Linked DNA regions of Oryctolagus cuniculus. The protein of the gene in region 1 purifies or fractionates together with the protein of each later gene. This does not show direct contact. Links are inferred from orthologs where the notes say so. Each region holds a gene or a part of one and is shown on either strand. Other genes may lie near its edges.

Region 1 (6,872 bases):
CCAGCCGATAGGCACCCTGGGAGGCAATGGTGATGGTTCAAGTGGTTAGGTCCTTGCACTCAGCTCCCAGCCCCAGCCCCAGGCTCTGGCCACTGCGGGCATTCAGGGAGTGCTCTCTTGTTCTCTCTCTCTCTACCTCTCAAATAAATATAAAAAAGTGAAAGCATAAAACAAAAATAGAAGAAGCATGGCACTTTCTAGTGGATAGATATTCAATAAGTGTTTACTGAAAGAATGAGTGAAAAAATAAGCATGCATTTCCTTTAGTATTAGGATTAAACACAACATCTGTCTTTTACAGCTCATACATAGTTCTTTTTTGTTGTTTAAAAAAAAAAAGTGTGATTACTCCAGTGGCATTGATGACCCATTCTTGTTGTGTGGTTGTGAGGGGGGGGAGAACCTTCCTCTGGCCACTCACAGAAATCCCGTAACTGTGTCTCCCTCACCAAAAAAGAAACCAAATCATTGATGTGATAAATCCTCAGAACTCGAAGACCGTGTGGCATTTACATGTTACTCCCCTAATAGGCAAAGGAAGGGAAAAGCAGAGTTGCTGGCTCATTTCTGCCAATATTCATTGTGTTCTGGACCAAGAAGGAATCCAGCTTCGGAGTACTGGGGTGTGGTGGTTTACTGTTTACACACCGCCTTGCAGTGCGTTATTGCATTTAACCTTCACAATGACCTCTTGCCTGAACAAGGGTCTTCAGACATAAGGAGACAGATTCTAGGGCTCTTGTGCCTTGCTGCAGGCAAAGCTAGGACGCCAGGCTGCCTGTTTGATACCACGCCCAGCAGGACCAGTTTAATCAGACTCCACCTGGAGGATGGTGGCGGGAGCTTCATGGTGCAGAGGGTGCACACAGAGTGCCAGGGCGTGCTTCCTGCATGGTACCTGGCACGCTTGGTTGTGGGTTTTCCCCGAGTCTTTCTGGTCTCATCATTCTTCCCCCTTCCCTGGCTTTGTGGAGAGGAAGGGGTCCAGGTGAGCGGGAAGGAGGGAATTGGGGAAGTAGCGAGGGAGGTTTTCGTCTAACCTCCAGGCAGAGGGTGAACCGTGCATGTTTGCCTGCTGTGGCAGCTTCATTGGCTCTACCAGACCATTGGAGCTTCACCTGTGTGAAGGAGGCCGCGCTCTCCAAGAGGGCTGGCCACCTGCAGGGCCCTTCCGTCCCTGGGGCTCCCACCGAGCTGTCGGGCCACAGCGCTTTTGCCATGGAGGAAGAAGCCTCGGCTGATGTCCTGGTCCCAGGCATCAGCCTTTCGAAACCTGATAGCCAGTCGAGGAGGAACCACTGGTGAAACCGGTCTTTTCCCTCTTGCTGAGTGTGGATGGTAGAGCATCATTGGAAGGACCAGCACAGAGAGTTTGTGCCTCGTAAAAGCATGGAGACCCACGCTGGCACAGCAGAGTGCCTTCCGGACCTCAGCCGAGCGGCGTGGGCCCTTGGCCGTGGCACCTGCTTCACAGGGTCTGAAACACCAGGTGCTCTCCGGCAGCTCGCCCTTGCCTTGGAGCTCTGAGTCTGCCTCCCGCTGCGTGACTGCAGCAACGGGGAAAGGAGAAAAGTGCGGGTTCTGCCTGGAGCCACCCTGCCTGAGAGAGGGTGGGAGCCCAGGGCGGCGGTGTCCCGTACGTCCGGAGCGTCGGCACTTGGTTCTGACTGCAGCTTCGCACCCGTCACTCATGTATTTGTCCTCATGTCAGTGCTTGATGCCGTGGGGAAGGGGAGAGGTGAACCTGGGCAAATCAGTCGAAAGCCAGGCTCTGGTTTGGGGTCACCTGACGTCTCCGGCGTGAGAGTGCCTGGTGGTTGGGTGAGGGCTCTGCCCTGGCAGGAAGTGAGTGGCCCCAGGCGGAGCCCTGCTTGCCACACCAGGCGTCGGGAAGCATTCTGGCATCGCTGTGACGGGTGCTAGCGATGAACCAGACACGATCCACAAAGTAACGTGGGCTCACCACGTCACCCATAGGTACCATTTTCACCCTCATTGTCCGTAACCTAGATGACAGCTTCAATGTGCATGTTTTGTTCCAAACTGATTTTTCGCTCTCCTTTGTTTCTGTGATACAACAACGCACTGTAGGCCGTTGCCCGGTCCCTTCCGGGGAGCCCCTGGGCGCAGCCCTGCTTGGTTGAGGCCACCTTTTCCGCACAGCTCTCGGCACTGTTGGGAGGACCTGTGGGGGCAGTGAGGGAGTAGGGGGAGTTGTTGCAGGAGCACCTGGTACTTCCGGTAACCTCCTCCCGGGCTGTTCTCTCTCCTGGCAGGACGACAGCGCCGACCTGAAATGCCAGCTCCAGTTTGCCAAAGAGGAAGCCTCCCTGATGCGCAAAAAGATGGCCAAGCTGGGGCGGGAGAAGGACGAGGCGGAGCAGGAGCTGCAGAAGTACAAGGCCCTGTACGGCGACGTGGACAGCCCCCTCCCCACAGGGGAGGCCGGTGGGCCCCCCAGCACCAGGGAGGCCGAGCTGAAGCTGCGGCTGAAGCTGGTGGAGGAAGAAGCCAACATCTTGGGCCGGAAGATCGTGGAGCTGGAGGTGGAGAACCGAGGCCTCAAGGCGGAGATGGAGGACATGCGGGTGCAGCAGGAGCGGGAGGGAGCGGGCCGGGACCACGTGCCAGCCATTCCTATCTCACCCTTTGGCGACTCCCTGGAGTCGTCCACGGAGCTTCGCCGGCACCTGCAGTTTGTAGAGGAGGAAGCGGAGCTGCTGCGCAGGTCCATCTCCGAGATTGAAGACCACAACCGGCAGTTGACCCACGAGCTGAGCAAGTTCAAGTTTGAGCCTCCCCAGGAGCCAGGGTGGCTAGGGGACAGCGCAGGCAAGGGTCCCGGAGGCGGGGCCCCTCTGCAGGAAGAGCTCAAGTCGGCCAGGCTGCAGATCAATGAGCTGAGCGGGAAGGTGCTGAAGCTGCAGTATGAGAACCGGGTGCTGCTGTCCAATGTCCAGCGCTGCGACCTCGCAGCCCACCTGGGGCTGCGTGCCCCGAGCCCTCGCGACAGCGATGCCGAGAGCGACCTGGGCAAGAAGGAGAGCGATGGGGAGGAAGCCCGCCTGTCCCAGCCCAAGCGGGAAGGGCCCGTGGGTGGGGAGAGCGACTCGGAGGAGACGTTCGAGAAGTCATCGGGCTTCGGGAGTGGAAAGCCCTCGGAGGTGAGCGAGCCATGTCCGGCGGAGCTCCTGCGGGCCCGCGAGGACTCCGAGTGCCTGGTGATCATAAAGCAGGAGGCACAGCGGCTCGAGCGGACCGTGGAGCGCCTCATCACAGACACCGATGGCTTCCTGCACGACGCAGGGCTGCCGGGTGGCGGCGGCACAGCCTCCCCCTGGGGGCCTGGGGGTCAGGACGAGGGTGAGGGGGGCAAGAAGGAGTCCCACCTGCTGGGCGCCATCAATGCCAGGATGAAGGCTTTCAGGAAGGAGCTGCAAGCCTTCCTGGAGCAGGTGACTCGGATTGGGGATGGCCTGTCCCCCTCGTCCCACCTCACTGAGTCGTCCAGCTTCCTCTCGACCGTGACCTCCGTGTCCCGGGACTCCCCCATCGGGAACCTGGGCAAGGAGCTGGGCCCAGACTTGCAGGTAAGGGGGCTCCTGGCCTCGCCTCCCTGCCGTGCCTTGCCCTTCCTCCTTCTCGCTGGCATTGCTGCACTTCTTGGGCTTGCGGTGCTCACGGCTGCTTGGTTGTGATTTCAAAGCTGCATTGCACTAAAGCCTCCGGCGTCCGCCCCCAACCCAGTCTCTGGGTTAGGGTTCCTTTTTTGTTTTTTTGTTTTTTTTTTTTAAGTTCCCTTTCTCGTTTCCTCGTTTTCTTTTTCCTTTTTCTCCTCTTATTTTTAACTGCACCCCTGCTTGGGGTCTAGAGGCCCCGGCCCCCGGGAACCAAGGCCGAGCCGAGTCAGGGGCTCGGCGCAGTCCGTCCTCGCTTCTTGCTTGGTGTCTCACACAACCAGCCGTCCCGGTGAAGAAGCCACGAGGAGTCTCAGCCGAGGTGCCAGCTCCTGTCACAGTCAGGATAAGTGGCAGACTCACTCATGAGCGCGCCAATCCCTCCTTGGGTCGTTACCAAAGGGACACAGTGCAGCTCGGACAGCCCCTAGGCAGCCAGGCCCACCCGCTCCCTCACTGGAAGATAAGCCGGGCTGGGGAGAGGCGCACGGTCCCCCGAGAAGGCTGTTTTTGATGGAAAGTCGCCGAGGTGGGGGCTGAGCGGAGTGGCCTCCGAGGACTGCTCTCCTGTGCCTCACCCTGGGGTGCATGACCCGGCTGCCGGCCCTGGATTGTGGCCTTTGCTGCTCGACCCACAAGTAAGGAAGGAAGAGCCTTGTGTCGTGTATCCTTCACGGGTGGTGTGCTCGCGGTGGACTTGGGACTCACGCATCGCCATTGCATGCGCCCCCTGCCCCTTCTCTGGCTCTGCAGATGCCGCGGCCTCTCCTCTCGCTCATCCTCATTCTGCGCCTGTGCGCTCTGCGCAAGCGTCCGCCGCTCTCTGAAGTTGGTTTCTCTTGTCCCGTGCTTCCCTCGGCCTGGCAGTCCTGCCCCTCGTCTGCCTTGACTCCTCTCGGTGTCTTTATCCTCCCTCCCCACCCGACTCTCTCATCCTTTGTATTTCGTTTAAAAACAAACAAACGAATCCCTCCCGTGCACCTAACAGTCCAAGCTGAGGGACCAGCTGGAGTGGCCGTTCAGCCAGGACCGAGGGGACGAGCGCGAGAGTCCGCGCCCGCGAGCCACCCGGGAGCTGCACCGGCACGCCGACGGCGACGCTGGGAGCCACAGGCCGGGAGGCCAGAGCTGCTTCAATCTCGAGGTCAGCGCCCAGACCCAGCCGTGGCCCTCATGCCCCTCCTTTTGCATGTGGCTGCCTGTGTGACTCGTCCTGCCTGGGCCAGGGCTCTCAGCGAGCGTGGCAGGAGGATGTGCCCTCAGCGGCCTCTTGTCCCTAAGCAGAGAGAAGGGCTGAGCCCAAGCAGGAGCTCCCCTAGTCCAGGGGAGACGCTCCTGTTGGGTCTTCATTGCCTCTGTCCTGTGTGCCTGTCCCATGGGCTTGGAGCCCCTGTTGCAGCAGGCTGGCAGAATCAGATAGGTCCTCTCGCTCCTGCCTTGGGAACCCTGGGAGCCTGCACAGGCTCGGTTGCCATGGTAACCCATGGACACCCAGTGACAGGTGCCTCTCAGTGGTCCTGTAAGACGGCAGCTCAGGGATACAGGTCACCCCATGCAGGAAGGAAAGACAGGTGCTCCCCAAGGACTGAACCGCCGGCGCAGGTCCCCTCCTGGCTGTTAGGCTGCTGGCTGGGCTGGAGTCACGTGAACTGGGTCGGGGAAGAGCTGTACCCCTCAATCCCCCAGGGGATGTTTCCACTGAACTCTGAGGCATGGGAACAGCAGGGGCCAGGAGACAAGACTTCCGGGCTTGTAACCCGGAAGTGAGCGACAGCTTTGTTCAGCAGAACATAGGGTGGGGTGATGAGGAAGTGAAGCTGACAAAGGCATGCAGGTAGGCAGTGCCCGAGCCTTTGGCTCCACACAGCGAGGCTGAAGGTCCCCTCACTGGAAAGGGGTGTGGCAGGGCTGTTGCCTCACCCAGCCAAGTCCCAGGTTGCGCTAATTTGCAGCTGTGTCCCTTAGCCCTGGAGGAGGGAGCGTGTCATGTACAAATGTAGAAACCGCCTCCAGCCAGCTGCACTAAAAACAGAAAAGGTTTCCAGAACCCCCTGCACAGTCCTGCTGTCCTCACGTTACCTAGGGAGGCCAGGCCCACCTGCGCAAGCGGCAGCCCAGCACACGCTCCGAGGGAAGGCAATGTGGGCCGTGCGGAGGGGTGACAGGGAGGTGATCCACATGCCACAGGGCGACACCCATGCTGGTGCCAGGCCCCCAGAAACCAGCAGAACCCGGTGTGCTGGGTGGGCGGGGCAGGGAGCGGCAGGGGGACCCCGGCCCTCCCAGTGAGAGTGCCCACAGCAAGCTTTTGTCATTTTTCTGAACGCTGGCTTTGGACGTGGAGCCAGACAACTATCACAGTGTCATGTCAGCTTCTGTGTGCTCTCGTTCCTTCACTGTGACAAAGCTGTTCCCTGGGTTTGTACCAAAAGTGAAACTGGGCAGCTCCCATTCTCCCCGGGGACGCTTACCTAATGGCTTCATGGGGCTCTTACCACATGTGCTTGGTCAGCCTGTGCCGCACACACGCAGGGTCTTCCTCTGAGAACGCTGGCTGCTTGGGCTGCTGCAAACCTGCAGCCACGTGCACTCACAGCTCGAGTGAGCATTGCCTGGGGTTTCCCAGCCTTGGGTCACACTGCAGCACTCAGCTGTTCCTAGCAGGGACGCGCTGCAGCACTGGAACCCGTCCTGGCATGGACTTTGGTCCAGGGCTATCGCCCAGCTGTGTCCACTACCAGCTCAATATCTCAAGCAGGTTTCTGGGCCTCTGTTTTCTCATCTGTCAAATGGGAATAAGAAACACTGCCAGCTGCTTCGTGTGGTTGTATCTGGACCATTCTGAAAGTCAGTGAGCTGCTGAATGAGGGAGTTGAGACCAGTCTGTCTCGTACGCAGCTCCCTCGTTAGGGCACGGCTGTCCCCTGCCCACCTTGGCCCTTTTGCTTCCCACGGGACGTCCCAAACCCGGGCCAGGACCGCAGCTCCCTTCCATGTGCTGCTTTGTGAGAAGTGCATCCCCCGGGACAGGAGCTCATGATTCGGGGCAGGTCCCACGCAGCCTGGCCTTGCTGAGTGACGCCCTCCTCCTGCTGGGCCTTCTCTATGTCCTCACTGAACCCTGGCGCCATGATCAGGCGCCTGTTCACAAACACGGTGCACAGCTTCCGAAACCCGCAGTGACTTGGAGGGAGA
Region 2 (7,654 bases), on another chromosome or scaffold:
CCCAGCCCCCACCCTGCTTGTCCATAATGGGCCACAAAGTCTGGGGGTTGGCTGCACTCTAGGCATAAAATATTCATTCAAGTCGACCTAATACATACGTAGGAATGTCATGGGAGCTTCAGAGAGAAGAGAGATGCCAGCCAGGTGGCTAAGTGCTCAGTGAGAGTTCACGAGGCCCAGGCAATCCTGGTTAGACGCCCACTGAGAATCGGGCTGTTCTGTCCAAAGGGGAAACTCTTTCGTCTGAGAAGTTCTGATTCTCAAGACAGCTAACCATGCAAACCTCTCAAGCACACAAATCCTCGGCCTTTGTCTACCTCACAGGCATCAACTCTGCTTAAGATGTTTATGCTTAGAAAAAGAAAAAAAGGCTCTGGTCCAACCTTTAGTCACAGTCTAGAAGATTCAGTTATCCCTGTACAAATCTGATTTTAATCTGAAGCACACTAAGTTTCAATGACTGCCTTCTCTCTGTTTAGCTCCTTCCCAAAGTCCACAGATAGGGGAGAAATTATTATAATTTACTAGGTCTGGTTACTTTTGCGGGTTCAAAGGTTAGGACTACCGGGACTCCTCCAGCCCTTGCTTTAACAATACCCCTTCCCTAATCTCGAGGACCGAGCGAGACTTCATGGCTTGACACATTCACCCACATCCCTGACCAGAAGGCAGCACTACCAAAGGGCCCCAGGCAGGCCAAAGGTCCGAGTGAGAGCCAGCGCCCAGAGCACTGGCAGTGCCGCACGGCTCGCAGGGCTACCTAAGCCCATTTCCTTGGAGGACACCAACAACCGAGCACTCAGTGCGACATCTGGCCGGAACCAATGGCAGGGTCTGACGAGCTCACGCACTCGGCGTGGCTCTTCCTCACAGGACCCTGGGACTTGGATTTGCTCCCGTGACTGTCACTCCCAAGCTCCTTATGCCATTTGCTCCCTAGAAAAGCGACAGCAGCCCCTCCGTGGGCAGTCACAGCCCTCTCTCATGGTTTCTGAAGCCATGCAGCCCCTCCCCCTGGGGCTACAGAAAGCTCTACCAGCAGCAAGTGAACTCTGGAAGCTGGACCCTTCTGCACTCTTGCTGGGGACCGCTGCTGGCGGGGAGACAAACAGTCATCTTGCTGATTGCTTTCAGGACTGCCAAGCCTCCAGGCCAGGCTGCCGAAGCCACTTGGAAAAGAAGGGAACAGAAAGCTCCACTAGCAGACCAAGAGTCCCCAAAACTACCAGCCCCAGGCCAGACCCTCGCTCTGCCACAGGAAGACGTCTGCGTTGTGAAAAGCACATCTAGAACAAGTGCCACAAGCATCTACGGAAAGGGCCTGCCTGTGTTTTATCTCCGACTCTCACTGCAGGAGCAGAGCTGGCAGCTCCCCTGCCACACAAGGCTGATTTCTATGCTTGAACACTGTGTGTGTGTGCGTCAGATGTGATCAAAGGGCTCCCAGAATCAGCTTCTCATCAGCCACAGTTCTAAAGAAAGTGCGAGAGGAAGAGCAAGAAAAGAGATTGGAGGCAACCACTGGAGTTTATTTACTGATTTTCTGGGGAAACCACAGTTTAAATAATTTAACTCTAAATAAGGTGACACAGGACCCTTCAGGCAAGGGAATCAGTCCAACCAAGTGCCTTGCTTTCCGTTTCCTAACACTGAGGCCACTCAAAGGCTGCACTTCCACGGCCACTTCAGCTGAAATGTCCACAGGACCGAGAAGAGATCTCTTGCCTTACTTGGCGGCATGATCTGTTCTAGGGGAAGGCCTTGCGATCAGAAGCACTGCTGCTGCTCGTCTTTCTGCTTGTTCTCAAGAGCACAGCACCTGCCTGGAACAGGCGTCACCCAAGGTTCTGCAAAGACTCTGCTTCCCTGTGTGCGACCGGCACCCTGAGAACTACGCGCAAGTGGCTCAGGGGAACCCGAGTCCAGGAGAGTAAAACGGGGATGAGTAATCCAGACTTGAGAGCAGAGCCACAGCACACACAGCCCCTGCTCCGGACAGTTATTCAGAGCAGCTCACATTCCAAAATGGTTCCCAGGCACGGCTGTCCTGAGCCCGGCGTGTCAGGATGAGAGGAAGTCAACGCGCACCTCACAAGGCCACGGCGACAGCACACCCACATTTGGTAAACAGCACAAAGAAACCACACGGAGGCCGCCCGGGACTCCACGCCGGTGCGCACAAGGTCCCACGGCCTCCCGGGCAGGAGGCACTCCGCGCCACTCCACAGACGCCTGGGGTGCCGGTTAGGCCCTCAGCCCCTCCTTCCAGCTCCCAATCAACAGTCTCGGAAAGTTATCCAGCTAAGCAGGGCCCACCTGCCAACACCAAGGCTGCGAGAGAAAAAAGGACGGAACAAGCAGCCTCAAGAGGGCAGAGAGTGGCTCCCCGAACGGAGAAACAGCTGGCAAGCGAGGGCAAGGACCACTGCGGGCCACAGACCAAGCTCCCCGTTTCCAGACTCTGCCCCACACGGAGTCAGCTGTCAGGCCCATCCCTCCCTCTCAATGCCCCTGCACCCCAGAAACAAACAACCCGTGCACAAGAAAAGGGCCAGCCGCCACCGAGAAAAACTCCGTCCAGAACTGCCGGGTTCCTAACTGTGCAGGTGACAGGCAGCAGAGGCTCACAGAACAGCCACACGGAGTAAAGGACACGGGGGAGGGTCTGTCGGAGCAGGTCAACCAGAGAGAATGAAAACACTGCAACAGCTCTACCCCAGCGACCACGAAGGAAAGGGGACAGGAGGGGCGCAGAGGAGGGAGGGCGGAGGATCCAACGCAGTGCAGCCCCCGGGCAGGAGGGCGCCTTTGCCAGGCCCTGCTGTCTGGGCCCAGGAAAGTTCTCTGAGAGGTAAGGCAGGGCGTCCCCCGGCAGGGCCCTCAGCAAGGGTCCCAGCAGCCAGGGAGGGGACAGCCAGTGAGAGCACACAGCACAGGCCACGGCTTGGCTGACGCCCCACGGGAGTGCGGCCAGGATGGGGGCAGCTTGTAGGGTCGGGAGGCTGCGGCATAGGGCAAGCACTTGCTGGGAATTACAGAGCAACGGGAAGGGAGCAGGGACGGCACAGCAGCACACGGGGGCGGGGGCTGTCCGCAGGACCTGAAGACGGCAGGAGAGGAGCAAACCCCGCGGGGAGGCACGGAGAGGAGGCGAGGCGAAGCCAAGGGGGCAGCAAGGCAGTGAGCAGGGAGTGACAGGCACCGAGCGTCCGGGTGCGCGCCGCAGAGGCCCGGGAGAGAAGTGAGCAACAGGTTGTGTGAATACACAGGGCGGAAACAGCGAGCGACCGTCCCGCGGGGTGCGGGCCGCGGCCAGGGCAAAGGCCGGCGGGGCACGCAGGGCGCCGAGCAGGAGGCGCAGGGGCTTGGGAACCGAACCCTGGGGGAGGAGAGCACGAGGGGCCCCCAGGGCTCCGAAGGCAGGGAGGACAGGAACCCCAGAGCAACCTGTGGGCAAACTGCGCGCATGACAGCTGGGAAACACGGAAGCGACACGGGCAGCGCCAGGAGCCGGGGAGCTCCCGGGGAAAAGACGGGAAAGTGATGAGCAAAGAGTAGGCGAGCGATCCGGAAAGGGGATGAGGGTGGAGCTGGTGGGCTGCGGGCAACAGCGAGCACGCGGGGCTGAGGACGAAGCGGGGCGGACACAGCTGGGCAGCCGCAAGCGGACAGGGCTCGCGGCGAACACCCTCCCGGGCGAGGACCCTGCGGGTCGTCAGCAGGGACCGGGAGAGCCGGCGCGGGCGGAGGGAGAGGTGGCCGACGATCTGTGGCCAGGCGCGGGGTGCTGCTCGAAGCGTGGGTGGAAGAAGACCAGAGAGGGCCCAGAGAGAAAAAGGGAAGAGAGGGGAAGCTGAGGAGGTTAACACGGAAGAGCGCAGGAGGGCGGCGAGGGGCGGAGGGGGGTTGGCAGGGCGACAAGTGTGCAGCCTGGAGTCAGTTCAAGGTGGGTCCCGGGTCAGGACTCGGAAGGGGGATGTGCAGGGCCGGATGACAGGGCAGCCGGGGCACGAGGAGAGCAGAGGAGGGAGGAGGCTCCGCAAGGTGCAGGGGCCCAGCCAGAGAATCCGGGGAGCCCTCGGGGCTCCTTACCTGCTCCGTGTCCCTCTCGTTCAGCGTGGGTAGGGGGGTCCGGGCGCTGGACATGGCGCCGGTATCTCAGGGGAGGGAACCGAGAAGCTCGGAGTAAGGGAGGGAAGGGAAGGCGCGGAGCCCGGCCGGGCGGGGCTTCTCACAGCAGGAGCGCCCGCCGCATGGGCCCCGGCCGGGGGTGCGGGGAGGCCGGGCAGCCGCTCACGCCAGCCCGGGGATGCGCCGCTCGGGCTAGGCCGCGCCGGCTCCGAGCGGCTCCGGACCGCACCCCCCCGACCCCCGGCTGGGCTGTGCCGCCTTTCGGCCGGGCTGCGCCGCTCCGCCTACTCTCTGCCGCCGCAGCCGGCCGCCTGCCTCGCTCCTCCCCTGCCCTCAGCGGCACTGCTCCGCGCCCGGCACACAGGCAGCCGCCGCCGGACCTGCTGCTCCCAACATGGCCGCCACCACCGCCGGCCCTCGGCTCTTTCCGCCGGCGGCAGCCGGAAACATCCGAAGCGCTTAGGAACGGGAGGGGGGCGCGCCTTCTCCTCTCGGCCGGGGTCTACGGGTCAATTCCGGAAACAGCCGAAGAAGGTAATCCCCGGAGACGCGCGCACCTCCTCGATTCCGAAGACCGAGCTTCGGCTCTGTTTACGGAAATCTACGAAGCGGCTCCGGGCCCTCCTGAGCCGCCCAAGCCACGCCCACCGCCCTTTCCCCGCCCACGTCAAGCCGGCTTTCGGCAGTTTCCGGAAACACCCGAAGAGGCTCCGCGTGCGGAGCCGGCCACGCCCCCGTCCTGCTGAGCGGCCGAGGGCGGCAGTCGGCCATTTCCGGCAACACCCGAAGCCCGCCGAGTCCGCGGTCATTTCCCCCCCGGGGTTCCCAGAGCCTGGCTCTTCGTTTCTTTCCGTCAGTTTTCGGGTATTTTCAAACCTTGGACGGGACGCGTGGGTCCCCGTGCGTGTTGTTATTTGACTAAAAAGAGGACGAGGCTGTTAGCCATCCATCCCTGTGGCCGGTGTACTTTGGACCTGGAGCAGCTTCCTGCTGCGTGTCTGTTCGTCCCCCTGTCGGTTATCTCATAAAATCCATCTTCTGTTTATCCCGCACCACAGGCCGTCAACATGTGTCACCTGACAAACGCAACGTCAGTCTATTACCTACCTGCCTCCCGCCCACCACCTGCCACGGGCTCTCCTGTCTGTGAATGGCCGCACCTGGTCCGCAGGTCGGCAAGGGACCAGGTCAGCGTCCGACACACTCCGCTGCGGGAACGCCCAGGGCCTGCCTTGCAGCCCCAGCTCTGCGATCCTGGGAAACCCACCTGCCATCTCTGAGCTTAGGCTCCTGTCCCCTCCACCGAACGGATTTATCCCAGAGATGACTTTAAGTGCCCCTGCCAGGTAAGGCAGGAGAGATCGTCTCATCTTTTTTTCTTTTAAAAAACAATGCACCTTTTCTAGCGGTAAGGTCGACGTGGGACGCCCGCATCCCGTCCCTGACTGGCCGGGCTCAAGCCCCCGCTACTCTGCTTCCAATCCAGCTTCCTCCTCATCCACACCCTGGGAGGCAGCAAGTGATGGCTCAAACACCTGTGTCCCTGCCACCCACATGGGAGACCCCAGGATTGAGTTCCGGACTCCAGGCTTCTGACTGGCCTAGCCCTGGCTGTTGTAGGGATTCTCCTCCGTCTCTCTGCCTTTGAAATAAAATGAAATTTTAAAAAATAAACATAGCATGCATTCCCACGTGGGAGACCCAGAAGCAGCTCTGGACTCCTGGCTTCGGCCCTGGCCCAGCCCTGGCAGTTGCAAACATCTGGGGAGGGAACCAGCAGATGGAAGATCAATCTCTCTTTCTCTCTCTCTCTGTAACTCTCCCTTTCAAATAAATAATGAAATATTTTTTAAAAAGTGTGCATTTTCCATGAGCTTTTATTCACTTATTTGAGCGGCTAGGTGTAGGAGTTGGGAAGGGCCTTCATCCACTAAGACTTACTTGCCCATAGTCTACAACGGCCCAGTCAGGCTGAAGCTGGGAGTTGGGAACTCCATCCAGATCTCCGATGTGGGTGGCGTGGGTGGAGGAGACCCCGGTACCTGAGCCATGGCGGCTGCCTCCCCAGGTCTACATTAGCAGGAAGCTGGAGTTAGGAGCAGGACCTGGGCACTGGACCCCGATGCCCACTCCGATACGGAACCCAGGTGTCACGGCTGGCATCTTCCATGCTAGCCTAAACGCGTGCCCCAGGCCTTCCCTTCATTCCCACGTCACTGTATCTAAGACAAAGAAACTGGGGGGAAAGGGAGAGGACCCCGCTGAAAATGACAGTTCTCCCGGATGAGTGACACAGAGAACAGGCCTGTACAGAAGTAGCTTTTCTTCCTTCCTGTGGGCCTCAGTCTCCCCATCCGTAGAGTGGGGTCGCTGGATTCACGAGCCCCTGACTCAAACAGGAAGTCCGTGTAGTAACCTCCGTGCACTTTTACTTCCTCCTCGACTGTCTCACCCAGGAGATGCAGCAGCCCGGGCTCATCTCTCCAGCTCCAAGCCGTCCCCACTCATGGCACCCGGGACGTGTTGGAATTTGCCTCTCTCCTGCCCCAGGGCTCAACGGCGGCTCAAAGTGGGCAGCAGCCAGAGGCCCCCTAGGAGCGAGATCAGGCTTAGGCAAGAGGTCCCAGCGGTTATGGGCAAAGTGCTGCCTGGACCTCTGGCCCTTGACTTCCAGCTCGCAGCTGGTGGTGCCAATCAGAGAAGCAGAGAGGCCTGTGGAAGTCTCCCTAAGGCCACAGGTGCCACCTGCAGTCTTAGGATGCTGCCAGGACTCCAGGCATCTTTGCAGGGCACAGCCCGGCTCCATTCAGGCCCCAAACCACTGAGAAAGACGTTGGTGAACGCGCACCTGAGGAGGAAAAGAGGAAGAGGACCCACCAGGCATGCCACTTCCCCCTGCCCCAAATTCAGCCCCCAAAAAATCTACGAGAACCATCTGCCCTCTGGTGGCCAAAGGGAGACACAGTGCTGCTTCCTGGGCCTGCCAGTCTCTTAAGACTGGAAAGGCAGGGGAGGGGATTGGAGAGCAAAGGAGGGGGGCGTTCAGAGCCTCCCCTGGCCTGTGCTGTCCTGTAGTAAACTCTTCCTCCCGTGTGCTCCCTACTCCTCTCTCCCTGGGTCTTCTGCTCTTCGGCTCCCACCCGCCTCGTCCTCACCAGCTCTGCACAAAGCTGCCTAACCAGTCTCCCTGCCCAGACTCCCTCCAACCCATCCCGCCCGAATAACCTTCCTGAGGTCCACCTCCAGTTACACCCACGCCCTGCTAGAAGGCCACGGCTGCTCCCCTGTGGGCCACAGGCGAGGCTGCCCTCTTGGGCCTGTGACCTGCATGGGCAGAGTCCTGCGCCAAGAAGGGCCTCCGTTCAGTTTAAGGCTCTGCCGTCACCGCCTTGAAGTTTCTTCTTTACCAAGAGGGCCCTGTTTTTGTTTTTGTTTTTAAGATTTACTTATTTATTTGAAAGTTACACAGAGGAGAGGCAGAGAGAGAGAGAGAGAGCGAGCGAGAGAGAGAGATCTTCCATCT

What was found.
Region 2: the proteins of MTCL1 (region 1) and MARK2 purify together in Homo sapiens (affinity purification with mass spectrometry; 5 studies listed by BioGRID and IntAct, with this or other methods). This does not show direct contact. The link is inferred for Oryctolagus cuniculus from reciprocal best matches to the Homo sapiens genes MTCL1 and MARK2.

The regions. Positions count from the first base shown.
Region 1 is NC_091441.1:65,913,327-65,920,198, forward strand, and holds part of MTCL1 (microtubule cross-linking factor 1), read left to right. Parts: intron 1-2,276; coding exon 2,277-3,590; intron 3,591-4,665; coding exon 4,666-4,821; intron 4,822-6,872. UniProt on the Homo sapiens protein: Microtubule-associated factor involved in the late phase of epithelial polarization and microtubule dynamics regulation.
Region 2 is NC_091432.1:7,359,690-7,367,343, forward strand, and holds the start of MARK2 (serine/threonine-protein kinase MARK2), read right to left. Parts: upstream 4,719-7,654; 5' UTR 4,147-4,718; coding exon 4,093-4,146; intron 1-4,092. UniProt on the Homo sapiens protein: Serine/threonine-protein kinase. Involved in cell polarity and microtubule dynamics regulation. Phosphorylates CRTC2/TORC2, DCX, HDAC7, KIF13B, MAP2, MAP4 and RAB11FIP2. Phosphorylates the microtubule-associated protein MAPT/TAU.